Coturnix japonica: one gene and its partners. The protein of the gene in region 2 interacts with the protein of the main gene of each other region in a pairwise test. Links are inferred from orthologs where the notes say so. Each region holds a gene or a part of one and is shown on either strand. Other genes may lie near its edges. The genes, in order: PARD6B, CEP76 and AKAP7.

The links.
Region 1: the proteins of CEP76 (region 2) and PARD6B interact in binary tests that used the Homo sapiens proteins (3 or more experiments, as listed by UniProt). The two-hybrid records come from large-scale screens. The link is inferred for Coturnix japonica from reciprocal best matches to the Homo sapiens genes CEP76 and PARD6B.
Region 3: the proteins of CEP76 (region 2) and AKAP7 interact in a two-hybrid assay, tested with the Homo sapiens proteins (3 studies listed by BioGRID). The two-hybrid records come from large-scale screens. The link is inferred for Coturnix japonica from reciprocal best matches to the Homo sapiens genes CEP76 and AKAP7.

The regions. Positions count from the first base shown.
Region 1 is NC_029535.1:12,090,959-12,097,168, reverse strand, and holds the start of PARD6B (partitioning defective 6 homolog beta), read left to right. Parts: upstream 1-2,107; 5' UTR 2,108-2,261; coding exon 2,262-2,327; intron 2,328-2,423; exon of another isoform or gene 2,424-2,484; intron 2,485-5,898; coding exon 5,899-6,121; intron 6,122-6,210. UniProt on the Homo sapiens protein: Adapter protein involved in asymmetrical cell division and cell polarization processes. Probably involved in formation of epithelial tight junctions.
Region 2 is NC_029517.1:87,453,376-87,459,047, reverse strand, and holds part of CEP76 (centrosomal protein of 76 kDa), read right to left. Parts: intron 4,973-5,672; coding exon 4,787-4,972; intron 4,026-4,786; coding exon 3,928-4,025; intron 3,490-3,927; coding exon 3,361-3,489; intron 2,094-3,360; coding exon 1,902-2,093; intron 1,109-1,901; coding exon 942-1,108; intron 211-941; coding exon 1-210. UniProt on the Homo sapiens protein: Centrosomal protein involved in regulation of centriole duplication. Required to limit centriole duplication to once per cell cycle by preventing centriole reduplication.
Region 3 is NC_029518.1:52,091,010-52,096,681, reverse strand, and holds part of AKAP7 (A-kinase anchoring protein 7), read left to right. Parts: intron 1-3,268; coding exon 3,269-3,424; intron 3,425-4,485; coding exon 4,486-4,631; intron 4,632-5,672. UniProt on the Homo sapiens protein: Probably targets cAMP-dependent protein kinase (PKA) to the cellular membrane or cytoskeletal structures.

The DNA of each region.
Region 1 (6,210 bases), on a different chromosome or scaffold from region 2:
CAGTGACGGCTCTATTATATTATTGTATAAACGTCTGTCTGGGTAGGCTCTGTAAGTTCACAGTGGGTTTGACTTGTCCATGAATGCGTGCAAAAAATAAACTCAGAAGAACAAGCCAACAATACACTGAACTGTCTAAATACAACGACTGCTAACCTCGTTTTATGATTTCAGCAATAAATCTATGAAATACTAAAATATTACAAACTAAACCCGGCACAGCGCCCCCTGCTGGGCACCGCCGGAACAGCCCGGGGCCACTCAGCCTGCAATTAATAATTCAATAGTAATAAATTATAATGAACTGTTTTATGAGGCGCTGTCATTCTTTTTGCGATTGGCTGCAGATATCATTTGGTAAATTAATAAATGTTCTCGCAATGGAAAAATCACAGATCCTGCCTTCGGTTCTTCAGCCATCCCTGCCACAGCACTTTGACTGGGCCCTGGGTCCACACTGAGGGCACAGACTCGTTTTGAGCAGGTCCGAAAGCAGCCGGATGGTTGGGAGCTCGGGAACAGCTCCATGCTGAGATACTGAAATGGGCTGCCCAGAGAGGGGCTGGGTGGGTGCTCCGTCCCACTCAGGGCCAGGCTGGACCACGCTCTGAGCAACCTGATCAAGCTGCAGGCGTCCCTGCTCACTGCAGGGGAGTTGCACTGGATGGCTTCAAGAGTCCTCTGCAACTCAGATGGTAACACAGTTCTATGGACCTGAAAGAGCATCCGGGACAGCAGTAGCCAGGGACTTCTCTGCAGTGAAACAGAATGTCCCCCTGATCCAGGGATTACAAAACCCAACCTGTCTTTCAACTTCACAGAAGCTGAAACTGGTTGTGCCATGAATAGTCATGATCAAGTCACAGGTTTGTAGACTCTGTGACTAAAATAGCTCTTCAAACTTGTGCTGCTCCCGGCCTCTCACTGTATCTTGATCTGAAATCAAGCTGTTTATTGCATTCCTTCCTCATACGTCAGCTCCCAGTGATGAGAGCATGCCAGTGATTAATACTCTTTATTAGGTCAGTTCCAGAGACTTGAAATGAATTTGCCCTGAGTCCTGAAGCACGTTACCACACCCACAGTGTGGAACTCCAGCCATCCTAGGAATGCAAGATAGAAAAAAATCCTTATCTGAGGTGAGACTCCAGAAATGTTCCACAGTAAAATCGGCTGCAGGCACAGATCAGCTCCAGGAAGTTCTTCCAAGGAAAACGGCAACTGACTGCTTTAAAAACCTGGCAGAGGTTTGCAAGGGGCTCTTGACTTCAATAAGCCGACTCACACGCTTTCTTCCTCCCTCTACATACTAAACTCTGTAAATGAAAAATCCTTTTTCTTCAGATTTTAGGCATGACACGGTCCCCATGTTAAGGTCTGCCGGTACCTCCCCAAGGTCACTATGTGGACGGTTACACAATAATGGTTGTTCTATCGCAGTGTAACACACACAAACGACGTCACAGAAAACCCTTCAGGCGTGTCACCAGGTTACGGACGGGGCTTAAAACAGAAAAGTCCAACAACTGCACGGCCAGGACAGGCCTAAAGAGCATGAGAGGGACAGGGAGGGAGCACGGCCTGGGCTGGGGCAGTCACACCCAGCAGGATGCAGTCAGTCATGTTTCAATGTCTCACACACATCCCGCTCCGTACAGTCTCACACATTCGGATCCAGTCATGTTTCTCTCACACCCCGCACACTCGCGGCCTTTCCTTCCCTTCCCTTTCCCGGCGCTGTCCCACTCCTCCCTCACAGATCAGCGCATCGTGCTGCCGGGCCGCGTTCCCTCGCACAGCCCCATGTTTGCACACCAGACCCGCCCGCTGCCGAGCAAAGGTCCCGCGGCTCGTCCCACCCCCGCCCCTACACAGAATCACTCCGTACTTCCTCATCTCCGTGCGGTTCCTCCCCCTCCATCTTGTAGCTCCGCCTCAACCCGGCAGGTGCTCGGTGCCGCCGTCCCGCGCTCAGCGCGCACGGCTCAGTGCGCATGCTCGCGAGCGGCAGGTGCGCGGCCCCGCCCGTGTGCGCATGCGCGGTGCGGCGCTGCCCCGTCCCGCGGTGTGAGGGCGGCAGGTGCCAGGAGCCGCCGGCCCCGCCCGGTGCCGCTGTGTCAGGGCGGCGCCGCGGTGCCAGGAGCGGCTGGAGGCGTGAGGGGCGGGGGGATCCGGGGGGATCCGGGCCGTGAGCGTCCCGCTCTGCCACCCGTGGGCGCCCGGGGCCGAGAGAAAAGAGCAGACGCCGAGCAGCCGGCGGAATGAGTCGGCCTCACCGCGGGCCTGCGGGCAGCCGGGGCCTCGGCACCATGGAGGTGAAGAGCAAGGTAAGCGAGCGGGGAGCGGGCGGCCCGGCCGGAACCGCGGGGAGCCCGGCGGGTCGGGGCTGAATCACGGACTCACTGAGTCACTGAGTCACTCACCTGCGGCAGCGCGGCCTGGGGCGGGAACCGCGCGGCGGGACTGAGCGAGCGACGGGACGGAGGAACCGGGCCCGGTGTGCGCAGCGAGCGGCGGGACGGAGCGGGGCGGGGGTGGGAGCTCGGGGGGGATCGAGGCTAAAGGCGTTCCAGGGTCGGGTCGGGGGTTGTGACGGACGCCGGGCCGTGATCGCTGCCCATCACACCGGGCTGCTCTGCGGGCAGAGTCTGCATGAGAACTTAGTGCCGGCCGAGCTCTCACGAGGCTGTATGTGTATGTGTGTATGTATGTGTATGTATGTACACGCTGTGGCTCCTCCAGCAGCCCTGCTGTCAGATCTCCGCAGGCTCCATGTGTCTATTGGCATTTCTGCATCATTTCTGCATCCATTGCCGTTGGTTTTTTCTCCTGGTTCCCGTAGTTTTGCTGGCAGATGTTCAGTGTTCTGAAACAGATCTTGGGGTTTTTTTTGGCTTACCGTGATCATATTTTGGTACTTTGTCCTTTTGCAGTTAATTACATTTACAACTGTAAATCTTAATATGCGTTAGATGTGAAATCTTAACTGGTGTGAAGCTGCTAAAGAAATGCGTTGTTGTGAAATCCTTTCCATCATCACACCAAACTACACGGCCCTGTGGGGATGTTTTCTTTCATTGGTTTAAAAGAAAAAAAGTCCTTTTGTGCCTCTTTATTTCTAAGCCGCTCGGGTCTGTTTGCTGTTCGTACTCTGCTCCTTCCTGCAATCCAAGCATCCCTTTGCAGTGTAGGAGAGGCAGCCGGGAGCTGGGGATCTTTTTCTTGTCTGTTTTTTAAACACTAGTGTGACAAGTGCTTGTACATGAAAAGCAGTGCTGCGCTTTTGGGACTAGCATGGATGATAATTACTGCTCGTTTTTAACTTAACTGTGATATGGGTGAAGTCACAATGCCAAGGAATACTTGGCTGCCATGATCCCAAATGCTGGTTAAGCACAGCTGTGACTGTGTCAGTGGAGCGTGTTGTTTGTTGTTTTAATCTATGTGCTTGTAGGATTGAAAGCAATCAGAATAACGTGTTTATAAGCAATACTTCTTGCCACAGCTCAAGCCTCCCCTGTAGTGTGCATTGCCTGATTACAAGTATGTCTAGGGATCAGCTGCGTGGTGCCTCCTTTGGCATTCTGCAGAGCAGGTCTAATGAGTTGGGGCTGTCTCTTAGTGTACTATGAAGAATGTATCGAGGCGTTCTCTGAACTACTTGTTGCTAATACATTACTTTCAAGTATCTAGATTTAATGTATCAGAGGAGTCATCTTCCTTCCGTGAAGAAGCTCCAAAAAAGAAAGAAAAGCTGTGTGGGAGGTGGAGGGGAGCATTCCTGTGCAGTGCTGTAAGATTTGAAGGCTTGCCATCAGTGTCCAACGCTGTGTTCAGGTAGTCCAACTCAGTAATCATGCACCGACTGACAAACCCATGCCTGCAAAGCCCATTGTGAGTGGGAATAGTGTTTTCCGATTCTTTGTTTTGTATGGAATGAAATCTAATATACCGATAAGCTCCAGCAAATGTATCTGTCTTATGTTCTGTTATTATTGCTTAAGACTGGTAGTGTAGCAGCGGCATGCAGCATTAGACAGGACATAAAGATGCTTCTCATAAGCGAGTCTTACTCACGTGGGTATCTCAGGTGAATTCCTGGTACATTGCCATAGCTTGTGCTGTGTTTTTCCAGCTGATTCTTCTGATTTTACGTTTCTGTGCTTCATTAAAGTTGCAAATTTTTGTTAGTGCAGAGTGGAATGTGGTGCAACGTTTGATATCAAATGGAAACATTGCATGAGATTAATATAGACAATTATTACATGAGATTAATATGGACAGGGAATTAGTTTAGCTTTTCTACTTTATCAGCTTCGTAGTACTGAGCATGTGGCAAGTTTTGTTAGAGCATAACGTCTGTGGAAATGGTGGGGGGAAAAATTAACTTCACATGCTTGGAAATGTGACCGTTCATATCCTTGCTGCAATCACACCATGTTTGCTTCAAGTTGAGAGTAAGATTGTTGGTGGCGTTCTTTTAAATTCCAGTGTTACTTAACCGTTCAAACTATGTTGTCTTTCAAAACCAAACAACTGCAGATTGATACAATGCTTGGAGAGTTTCCATAGCGCTCATACTTGAAATAGCTGCAGCAGGGTTCAGCAGGAACTCGGTCACGTTCCATCACTGACATCACACTTCAGCTGCCTCTGACGTGGAGGAAGCTCCTCCTGCAGGCTGTTGTTTGCTTTGTGTGAGTCATCTCTTCTGACTTAAAGTGACTGAAATAGGAATATTTCTAGAGTGCCCCCAGAGAATTCCATTATTTGAGAACTTTGAAGATGAGGTGTTAATAGTGTGTAGGCTGTTCTGCTGTGCCTGTTTGAGTCTGGGCGGTGTTAATGTGCTAACAATAGGGTCCTTGTCTCCTTATTTTCGTGCCTTGGTATGTGAGAATTCTAAGGCCTCTATTCTCTAGAGCTGTTTTAATCAGTGGTGAGGTAAGGGTTGCTCTGAGGCCTGGTAATTTACACCTCCCCACCTGCTGTGTGTAACACCTACCCCACCATGTGATACTGAGACTGGAACTCCTGGCAGCGTTTCATTCAGTGTGCCCTCGCCTTCTTAAAATTGAGCCAGGTAAAGGAATAGTTTGAAGTGATGTTCATTGTCCATCAGTGACAGGATTGACAAAAATGCCACCAATTGGCTGCTCTGTATTTTGTAGTGAGGAGCTTATTGTCCTTCTAATTCTTCTACAAGCTGGAATCTTTCAGAAGCAGAGGCAAATCTTCTGAATGTTCTTGAGGGGCGGCTGGTTGCTCCCTTTTATTTCCTTCCTCCAGAAAGAAGCAGAATTGATATAAGAGCATCTCGTGAAAGTTTTACTGCACGGTTTGTACTGAACATCACCAGCTATTCTTTGTATCCATTGGGTCAAAGTGGCTTTTCATTTCTGTTCAGAACAACTAGGAATATGAGCAGTTCTGTCTTGCATATGTTAACCATAGCTCTGTATTAATGCATATGTGCCATTCTAAAGCTCTCTGTGACTTCTTTGAAGAATTGCAGGTCGCCACGTGCCATAAAAAGTCGGTTGTTCTCCTTTCTGTTCTTGAGCAGCCACCATCAGTGCTGGGCATCAGTTCTCCCCCTCACCCAGAATGTCTCTTACTTCATAAATAAATGTCTGAGAATCTGCAATTATTCTGGCACTAGTTTGTCACCCTAATGCCACGTTCCTGTGTTAGTGAGTGCTTTGATGTACATGGATGGAAACAACTTGTGAAAACTTTGGGGAGGAAAAAATACCACAATGCAAATAGGAGTTTTATGCCTCTACAGAATTGCTGTTTGTAGTTCTTAGTGCACTCTTAATTGCAAAACATTCAGAATATTTTTGTGCTTCAATTGTGTGTTAGCTTTCCATGTTAATAGGATGTATTTTGTTGTAGTTTGGAGCAGAATTTCGGCGGTTCTCTTTGGAGAGGTCCAAACCCGGGAAGTTTGAGGAGTTCTATGGATTGTTGCAGCATGTGCACAAGATTCCCAACGTCGATGTTCTCGTGGGATATACAGACATTCACGGAGATCTGCTGCCTATAAATAACGATGACAATTATCATAAAGCAGTTTCCACCGCCAATCCCCTACTCAGGATTTTCATTCAGAGGAAAGGTAAGTGTGCTTGAAGTGGGTAATTACTTGTTTATAATTATACTGTTTACTCGGTATGAGGAATGGAGTAAATGCCCCATTCCATTGGG
Region 2 (5,672 bases):
CACACTGATTTTATTGCTTCTGCATTCATGGGTTTCCACTTAGACTCATCCTGTAGGTCAAACACACAGACCTCCACTGCATCAGTGGGCTGACAGTTTCCATAGAACTTCTGATGGTTGAAGACACAACCTATCGTGCGATAAGGATACAACGGCTTGGGCTGTTCAACTATTGGAGGGTCATCGGGGTTGATAGGTCTGTGGATGTACCTGATGAAAGACATCCAATTTTTTATTAACACACTTGGTATCTTAAGGCAGGCTACAAAGTACTTCAGTAGGACAGAAGTAAATCATTTCTCCTTTTAAAAACATAACCTAAATTTTTTACCATTGCAATTACATTTTGCAACAACACATTAGTACAGCTTCCACATTATAAAATACAAAATCACAAGGTTGGAAAGGACCTATAAGATCATCTAGTCCAACCGTCCTCCCTTTACCATACCTAGAGAAAAACCCTCTGCGGGTTGGAAGGGACCTTAGAGATCATCGAGTCCAACCCCTGGGATTCGAGCCTCCTGTGTAGCAGAGCGGCACTTCTACCACTTGTGCCACAGGGGGGATTCGAACCCAGGCCTACCGGTGTTGCAAAGCAGTGTTCCACACAACCATCAGTTGCCCCAAGAGGCAAAAAAGTTACTATCCTGCTTAAAACCACTGAAAAGCACATTATGAAATACTTCACCTCACGCTCAAGCAGTTATCCTAAAAACAAAAGTATACAGAGCAAAGATGCACAGACAAAAGTCTCCTGGATATTTGATTAAATGACAAGACAGGGAAATGAATATGACAAAGAAACAAGACAAAACCAACAAGCACACACACACAAACACACACACACACACACACACACACACACACACAAACCCACCAGAAGAACTACACAAATCTCAATAGGTACTGCTTAGTTTTCTTATTTGCTTTTTACTCACCTATGTCCCGTTAAGCTCTCCCAAAAAGTAATTGTTCCATCGGTTCCACAGGTCATTACCCAAGCGTGAGGGATTCCTTTTGCTTTTGTTCCTACACACACAAAGGCTTCCAATCCATAGCCAAGAAGAAGACTGCACAGAAGGTTGGCATGATCTTCACAGTCACCCTAGACAGTAAATGTTTGTATGTTGGTTTGACTATCAGGCATAGCTAAAAACATTAGAAAAAGAAAGCAGTATTTCTCCAGTTGTTATCTAACAAGTCGCGTTTCCCTCCTATTTACCTAAAACATGCACCAGAAGTCAGGACTTCAAGGTTACAAACTTAAGAATCTTGAATTCCTCTTTTTAATATGCACCATATCAAAGTATATCAGGCTTTTACAACTTCCAATGGAGTTATTGTTCTTCACAGAGGCTCATATGGTGCTGCATTTTGGATTTTTTATGAGAACAGTGCTGACAGCACACCATTGCAGGTGCTGCAGAGCAGCGTTTACACAGACACAAGGATATTTCAGTTCTTCATGCTGCCTTGCCCATAAAGGGCTGTGGTACACAAGGAACTGAGAGGACAGAAACAGGATAACAGCTGATCCAGACCACCCAAAGGATGTCCCATGTCACATGTCATAGCGCTCAGCAACATAAGCTGGGTTGAAGGAGGAAAAGGGGATGTTTGTGATGATGGCTTTTATTTTTCCCCCCTTAAGGAACCATTACACATGATGTCCAATGGATTCATTGAAAAAAGGATTCAAGCAACAGCACTGAATAAAGTAAGTCAGCTCCAAAGCCCTCTTGTCTAATACTTAACATCTGCCACTATTTGATCTTATAAAAGCTATTTGCATTTATGAGTTCTCTGAAATGGATTCAGTCCACCTTTTGCAACCTGTTTTAAATGACTAACTTCATTCCAACTATAAAAGTTGTCATGCAAAGACTGTTTTTACATACCTTGTTTCTACATACGAATGCAAGAAGTGTGCACCACTGCTCTTGTTTGCCACCACCTCCTCCGATGACAGGAGCTCTTTCATAACCCAGGACACTGACAAATCGTGCTGCTTGTCTAGGTGTGTCTAGCAACCGGCCCGCTCGAAGTGGTCTGATATATGAACATACCGGACGGTTTACTCCATTTTCATCCTGAACGTGGTAAAGAAATAATAGTACTATTAAAACTTCCTAAAGCAATCCATTATCTACTGTTAGTTTCCAGTGAAGCTTCCATTCCGGCTGCACCAGGTGTGTTCAGCAGTGAGATGAATGCACCACACCCTTACGTGGAAGCTGACACTACTCCCGTACACAGCTGGTGAAGCCAGAAGAGAAGACCTCACTTCCCTGAAGACAAACAGCAGGTGTGGATTGCTTCCGGAAGTTATTTCATCATCTGTGCCAGGAAAATTGCTGCTCTACAAGTTAAATTCATATATTAGCATGATAAACACAAAGCATCACAGAATGGCCCAGGTTGGAAGGGACCTCAAGGATCAAGAATCTCCAAATCTCCTGCCACAGGCAGGGCCACCAACCTTGCCATTTAATAGTAGACCAGGTTGCCCAGGGCCCCATCCAACCTGGCCTTGGACACCTCCAGGGATGGGGCATCAGCAGCCTCTCTGGGCAGCCTGTTCCAGCACCTCACAACTCTCAAAGAACTTCCCCCTGACATCCAGCCTAAATCTTCCCTCCCTCAACTTGAAACCATTTCCCCTTGGCTGTCTGTTATCTACCCTTTCAAAGGCTTGACTCTCCTCCTGTTTGTAGGCTCCCTTTAAGTACTGAAAGGCTGCAATGAGGTCACCCTGCAGCCTTCTTTTCTCCAGGCTGAACAAGCCCAGCTCCCTCAGCCTGTCCTTATAGTCCCATACCATTCCTACTACTGAGGGGCAGTCACCAAGGAACAACTGATGTGATTGTGACGTAAGTTACAACACAGTAACTTACTAGCCAATGATTTGTTCACATCTGTAACTACCATGCAACATTCACCAGCCAGATTACTTTATTAACCACAGAGTGCTCAAATATTATATGGATCTGCTCCAGTATATCCAGTAACTCCACTACTTATTACTGTATAAAACCTGTCTGCAATAGTTTGTATAGATCACTTAAGCATTTGCCATTTGTACTTATTCAAGGAAAAGACTAAAATGGCTTTTCTACCTCCTACACCAGGGGTGCTTGGAGCAGCCTTTCTCTATGAAACATACTCTTCAGCTTCAGTATACATAGTTCAAGTCTTGAAAACTTCATTGTCAGCATACTGTATCACATGTAGCCCTGAATGGAATCTAACCACATCATAAATCTATACAAATTCTACATACACAAACTTCAAACATGCAGCTAAGACTAAAAAAAACACCTTGAAGAACAGATTGGTGTATTTGTAAAATATACAAACCTGTGCAAAAATCTTTACCAGCCTTGAGTTGTGTGTAGGCCTGATCTGCAGGTATTCTCTCCACCACTGTTTAGCATACACAAGAAATAAACGTTCTTTTTCTGCTGTCTTCTGACGTTCCAAAGTAAACTACAGGTAGGAAAATACACACAACCATTCACACATATAATAATTCCAAACAAGAACAAAAAGTAATCAATATACATACTAGCACATGATCCTTGCATATGAAAAATGAAGTTTAATATGACAGCATGCAACCAATGCTAAAGAATAGTATTTTAAAGTGAAAATCCAATGAATGTAAAACTCAATTTACATTTCTTGTTTGTAGGCTGATATATCAAGCTTGACTGAAGTAGTGTTCATCTTCAGTGACGCATATCTGTATAGAAGGACTACTCACCTTGCTAAGTGTGGAATAATATCTGTAACACCTTTGGGCCACCATTTACTGGCTTTTCAAGTAGAGTAACCGACCCTTTATCTACATAAATAACTGTACAGTGTGCATCCCCCCTGCTGATAAAAGAACAGGCCATCCCTCACCCCCTACATATTACTTACCTGAGTGCTTGTTATTTCTGGAGACAGAGTCTTAGTAAGTGGTGGATACATTTCAAGTCTGATGTTCAAAACACCGACAGAAACCTTTGATTCTGTACCTTTGAACCAAAATACATTCCTATCAGTCCTTTCAAATTCATTTGACACAGAACAAATAATAGTTTTAATCATACCATCATAAAAATAAAACCCCATAAACTTCTCTAAGTACATACAACACAAAGATCTTCACTGAAATATTCTACTCAAGAATGAAAGGAATGATAACCTGGCTAAAGAAGCTGGTAACTGGATCTGAGCCCTAAGGGCCTCTTTCCAGGTGATACCAGAACATACAAGATGAATGCTGTTCTGTAAGGGCTAGAATAGGCACCTACAAATAGACTGGAAGAGCCACAGTGTACAAGTGCCCATTGTTACTGAATGTACAACTCACTGCTCAGATCACTGTGGTTAGAGCAGGATCATAACTGCTACACAGGACAAGCTAGATTTTACACTTGAGAACACTGACACGGTATTTTTCCTGGAGACGCATTTGTTGATTTATGTTTGTTTTGATAGTTTACCCACATCCTGGAGATAACAGAGGCTCCCAGGTACAGGGACCACTATTGCACAGGATCTGGAACACACATTCTTAACACTTTGATAAGACAAAAATCTGACCATTAGTCCTTTATATAAACTCTTCTTAAGGATACCTTAAAGTAATTCATGAGTTGATACCTTAAAGTAATTCATGAGTTGATTAGCTGAACTGAAATCAAACCAAACCATAAATACTACTTTAAGCTTCTAATCAAACTTAGTACGCAATACTTTAACTCATCGTTAAATGCTCATTAGTTATTCTTACCTACACCCAGGAGTTCAACAGCAACATTTGTGATGCCATTCTCTGCAGCCAGGACAGATCGCCACTCCAAGAAATAGGACGCTACCAGCGTTGTCTCACCAAACGTGTCTGTTTTGATCAGAACCATATGCACTGGATCACATACAGATAACATAGTTGTTGCATCCACCATTTTACTTCCATCACCTGCCAGAAATAAAGCAACATTAAATAGCCAGAATATCACCCCAAGTCCTCCTTAAAATAATACTACTTTTTAGGTAAATAACTGCACTCTTGAAAACATGGAATGCTTCAGGTCTATTTATTATACACCACTATTGATTCCAGAATTCTTCTCATAACATTCATCTGCCACCACATTTCCTGGCTACCAACGGCAGAAAGGCAATAGAGGCGACAGATAACCGTGGAAGTCAGTCATCGAACAACTCATAGCAAACTGAGCTCAAAGTAAAGTTTTTCCTTCTGCATGGTGACAAATTGCTATCCACCTTCACGAGAATGCTCAAGGTTGGAAGGGACCTATGGAGGTCAGCTGGCCTAACCCCTGCTCAAGAAGGAACACCCAAAGCCCAGGACCATGGCAGTAACTTCAGAGTAGAAAAGACAAGGTAAGAATAGAGAAGGATCTAGAAGTGAAATCTAATAGTCATCAATTTCCCTACAAAAAATTTTAGTAATAAATAGGAAAGAAACACACTACATAATTTCAGACCTGTTTTGGAATAACTATAAAGTCAAAAAGAAATCCAGTGAAACAAAGCAAAATGATTTAGTGTAGGGTTTTTAGAGTTAGGGTTCTGGTTAGGCTGTGGTTGGACTTGATGATCTTCAAGGTCTTTTCCAACCTGGGTAATTCTATGAAAAGAAACAACATAGCATC
Region 3 (5,672 bases), on a different chromosome or scaffold from region 2:
TCCAACCCGGGTCATTCTGTGATTCTGTGATTTCTGCCTTAGCATTTAAAGGAGATTTCTTCAGCTGGGTCAGTTTGGGGCCGACCCTGTTTAATAATGGCCAGTGGCATCCTGGCTTGTACCAAAATAGCACAGCCAGCAGGAGCAGGGAGGTGATCATCCCCTGTACTCAGCACTGGTGAGGCTGCACCTTGAGTGCTTGCGTTCAGTTTTTGGCCCCTCACCAGCAAGAAAATCATCAAGGTCCTGGAGTGTGTCCAGAGAGAGTCAATAAAGCTGGTGAGGGGTCTGGAGCACAAGTCTTATGGGGAGTGGCTGAGGGAACTGGAATTGTTTAGTCTGGAGGAGTCTCAGGGGAGACCTTAGAATCATAGAATTGTATTAGAACGGATTGGAAGGGACCTCAAGGATCAATTTCCAACACTCCTGCTATAGGCAGAGCCACCAAGCTCTCAATGAAGTACTAGATCAAGTTGTCCAGGGCCCTATCCAGTCTGTCCTTAAACACCTCCAGCGATGAGGCATCCAGACCCTCTTTAGGCAACGTGTTCCAGCACCTCACCACTGTCTGCAGGAAAAACTTCCCCCGATGTCTAATCTAAATCTCCCCTCCTTTGGTTTAAGACCATTCCCCATTGTCCTATCACTATCTACTCTTGTAAAAATCTTATTTATCTCATGTTTATAAACTCCCTTAAAATATTGGAGGGCCACAATGAGGTCTCCCCACAGCCTTCTCTTTTCTAGGCTGAACAAACTCAGTTCCTTCAGCTTATCTTCACTGAAGAGGTGCTCCAGCCCTTGGATCATCTTGTATAGACCTTATTACTCTCTACAACTATCTGAAGGGAAGTTGTAGTGAGGTGAGGGTCGGCCTCTTCTCCTATGTAACTACCAAAAGAAATAGAGAGAATGGCCTCAAGTTGCACCATGGGAGGTTCAGGATGGATATTAGGAAATGTTTCTTATCTGAAAGAGTGGTCAGGTGCTGGAACAGGCTGCTCAGTGAGGTGGTGCAGTCACTGTTCCTGGAGGTGTTCAGGAAATATGTAGAGTACTTTCAGACCTGGTTAGTGGGTGTGGTGGTTATGGGTCAATGGTTAGACTAGATGATCTTTGTGTTTCCAACCTTTATGATTCTACAATTCTCTGGGCGTGTGAAGCTTGTGCTAGTAGTAGGGGCTCACAAAGCCTAGAGAGAAAGGCCATCCATTTCCACAGCAGTGTTATATTCAGTTGTGGAATAACAGAACAGACTGGGTTGGATGGGGTTTTAAAGCCCATCCAGTTTCAACCCCAATCATTATTTGTTACTATACACGGCAAACAGTGCCTACAGTCCGGGTCTTGAGTGGAAAACTGTTGCTCCTGCAACTAAGTGTGGAGAGAGGAGGCCTGAAAAGGGAGTACAATGAGAGTGTTTTTCCCTGCTTTTGTGTTCTCTATGAGACATATGTAGCTTGTTTTGTTTTCTTCTTTTTTTTTTCCCACAGGAACAGGTGGCTCATGTTCATGAGCATCAGTAACTGCTTTATGACAGATAGATCAGTAACTGCTCTAAGACAAATACAGGGAAGGCATAGATCCCTTTTCATATATGAAATTCATGCAGTTAAGAATAAAATTTATCCTTCAGTAGTTTGGTGGTGTAAGAGTTGCTGTGGAAGCTCTTCTAGTTACATAGGTCTCAGATTATTAACATTTTGCCAGGTATTTGGAAAGGTTGCTTTAGTGACTAGGATACAAGTCTTGGATTTTGTTGGTGATTTCCTTAATGTTTAATTCAGGAAAAAGTGGGATAGAGTTTTTGATTGGGATCTTGATATGTAGGGCTGAGAAGCAGTGCATGTGTTGTTTGGGAAGGGATGTAATGTCTGTGCTCCTGCTCTGCCCACCTGCTGCTGTTCATCACATACTGTGCTTTGTGTCTATGGGGCAGAAGGAGGGCGTAATCTGCAATACACACCCCTCAGATTTAGGTGAATCCTTGTTCCGCAGCTGATGCTTCCATACTAAACTCCATTTGCTTTTAATTCTGCATTTCTGCATCTTGTTGGCAACTTTTCTGCCTTGTTTGTCAGTCTCATGGGTTTTTGTCTTGTCCTTCAGTTTGTGACCTGTTTAAAAGGAGAAAACGTTATGTTCTGTATGCTGGTGGATCACCAGCATGTAAGCTTAACTCTAAGTGTTAGGTAATAAATTTATTGTTGCTTTTAACATCTCTTTGTCATATATAGTTCTTTATTGTCTGCAGAGGGAACAAGCAGCCACTCCAGTTTGTTTATTCATATTAGCCTTTGGCATAAATGTAGGTGTCAGACCACGGCAACATAGTGATTTATGTCTTCCTACTTTAGGCTGGAGTTAGCATGTAACCAGATTCTTCTTTCGCTTATCATCCCAATAGCCCAGACTCTATACTGTTGATTTTACACATGTAGCAGAGCTTTGCATGCCACAGTAACATCATATGCACTTTTGAGGCCAGTTTTTCCCCTTGGGCCAGATTTGGACTATCTGCAGTGGTCACAAGAGAAGCTTTCAAAGTGTGTTGTCTGTCATAATGAGCTGTCCTGGGATAAACTGCAATTCTAACACAAGGCTTCTTGCACTACAGTAATCCCATTGTGGAGCTGTCCCAGGAGGATATTACTGGATGTCTCGCTATGTGTACATGTTGCTAGAGGAGATACTGATTTTGCATTTCTTAAGCTGTAGTTTAATACACATATTGCACTGTGTGGGAGATGCAGGACTAGAATAATCATCTCATTCCTGCATGATATAGTCAGCTGAGAACTCTTTGCTTTATGTGAATTTGTAGGATTCCCTTTCTGCTCCTTCATGCCTCGTTTTCAGTGTGTTTACATTGGAAATAATCTCCTTGTGTTTATCTGCACCAAATTTCACATGCCGTTACTGTTATCCAGAGTGAGCCTTACATGATATATGAAGATTTGTATTGTTTTGTAGTCAGTATAACTGTCCTTTTTGCTTCTAACTGCATTTGCTTAGAATGGATCCAAACCACAAGTTATTAAATGTAGAAGGCTGGACTCTCTTTTTATGCTATTTCACATAAAGTGTTGAAGTGTTTTTGTTGATATGTTGTCAAGGAAGAAGAGTAGCGTTCTTAATAGGGATTTATGTCACTATTTATTTGCTGAGAACTAGATAGATTTATGTTTTGCACATTGGTTATGTATAATGTCATGTAGGTGTTTATGCTGAAAACTCACACCCAGTGTGTTATTTAAATATATTACAGATGGGCTGGAAAATATGCAGCAAAAGAAGGAAATTGTTGAAGGAAATAAAAAAAGGACACGAGAGGAAGAAAAGCCATGTCCTCATGCTGATTCAGAAGATTCTCTGATGGCAGAAATGCCATTTGCCGGCATAGATACTGAAGATGAATTTGCTAGTAAGTGTATTTAAATGGACATAGTGTCACAACATAAACATACTGTGCACACAGTTCCTGATCCTGTCTGTTGGAATGCACAGGTAGGCTGGGCCTGTTGAGTACAGTCTCCCTGCAAACAGAACCAAGTCCAGAGGTTTATTAGGTTTATTGCAGAGGGTGGTGGGGTCTCCTTCTCTGGAGATATTCAAGACCCGCCTGGACGCCTACCTGTGTGACGTGGTGTAGGGAACCTGCTTTGGCAGGGGGTTGGACTTGATGATCTCTAGAGGTCCCTTCCAATCCCTACAGTTCTGTGATTCTGTGATTAGTCCTCAGTCTTGCAGACACTTGAGCATGTTAAACATTTGTTTTGTGATTCATTGAAGCAATGAGCTACAGCATAAAGATGTCTCATATACGTCTATTCACATTACTATATATGAGCTGCTGAAGCGATGGCTTTTATGAGCTGTCTTCCAGATGTGTATTCCCAGCATGTGGCTAGAAATGCACTTGTTATTAGGCAGTGGAGAGAGGCTGCAAACAAAATAAGCTGGGAGAAGAGTAATCTGTGGTACACAGAAGAACTCTCTGGGTTTGGTCCATGAACTGTAGGTTGGCCATTCCTAGTCTACCACAACCTTCTCCTTTAATAATCCTGCTTATCATCTTGTTTTATACTGTAAAATGCAGTATGTGGGAAATTGCTCTGAAGTCATGCCCATGGACATGTCAGGTATGAACACTTGCTGGCCTAGTCCACTGTAGCAACTTGGCTCAATGAAACACAGCTGTAGTTTGGAAGCCATGCATGTGTGTTAACAGCTTATAAACCCTGCCTGGATGAATAGACTATTAGTTCAAGTATGGTACTCCACTTGCGTGGCTATGTTAATGGAAGCTGGCATAGGATCCCAGTCAGACAGTTCAGTGCGTGGGCAGATCACATGCCTGGGAAAATGCTATCCAGTCATCTGACTGAAGTGATATTAAGGATTATTGGGTATGATATTAAGTGTATCTTTATTCTGATTTGTCTATGTGCTGGAAGTATTTTCTTTTTCTTTTTTTTTTTACAGTGCATACAGCCTCTGAAATAAACATGGAAAAGAAAAGGAAGAGGGCTACCGGAAAGGAAATTCCAGAAGGCAGTGAGAGAAAGAAGAAAAAGAAAAAGCAATATCAGCCAAATTATTTCATTTCTCTTCCAATTACTAATCCAGAGGTGAGATTCTTTATTACAGTACTTTGGTATAACTAGAGTTACTTCAGCAGCTGCTTGTGTTTATAAGGAGGGCAGTGTTTGAGCTTGAGCAAGCTCATTTTTCCAGGTATTTTTAGAAGAACATTAGCAGCCTATTCTGTCACTTAACTTTTTAAACTAACATCTTTGTGAATAAAATTACTCACCTGGGAAAGACTGGAGAAAGGTTATCTTTTTATTCTCTCTTATGGAATTCAAATTATTTTGATTGAAACTTAATTTCTCCCTCTGCACTGTTTCAGTGTTGCTTATTTTGTCTCACAGTCTCGTGCGGGTTGGAAGGGACCTTAGAGATCATTGAGTCCAATCCCCAGGATTCGAGCCTCCTGTGTAGCAGAGCGGCACTTCTACCACTTGCGCCACAGGGGGGATTCGAACCCGGGCCTCCGGTGTTGCAACACGGCATTCCTACCATTCAAATGGAATAAGGAAGAGAGACGTTCCTGTTAATAGGAAAACCACTGCAGGATTTCTAGCTCTCCCTATGCACAAGATTTTAAATGTGGATCCGTCGCTGTTTTAACTTTATGTTTTGAAGTTTTATAAGTTTCCCATAAAATTGATCACCTTGTTTAAATTCCAATAAGCTACTGTTTAAGTGAGATGCAATTGAAGTGGAAATGCAGCAAAGTCTTCAAAACTTATTCTCCTGCAATTAGCACGTGTTTAACCTAACAGTAACCTAGCTCCCAGGTGAATTTTAACTCATTCTGCATCCGTAATATGTGTGTTCAGTGAAAGTCAAAAATGCAGAGAACCTGCAATGCAAATAATGTAAGCTAGTTTTGGAAATGACAGTGCAGTCTTTGATTCTTCAGAAAATGCTGTGTGAAGGAGAGATGGCAGAACTCTCCCTTCTCAGGATAGTTTTAGGATAGCCCGACACAACTGCTGGTGATCTTTTATGCCATCCTGCTCTGAAATATCTTTTTGTCCTGTCTCTTCCACGATTTAACAGCAACAATTAATGTAGGAGTTATATAATCTGATAATTGAGAATTA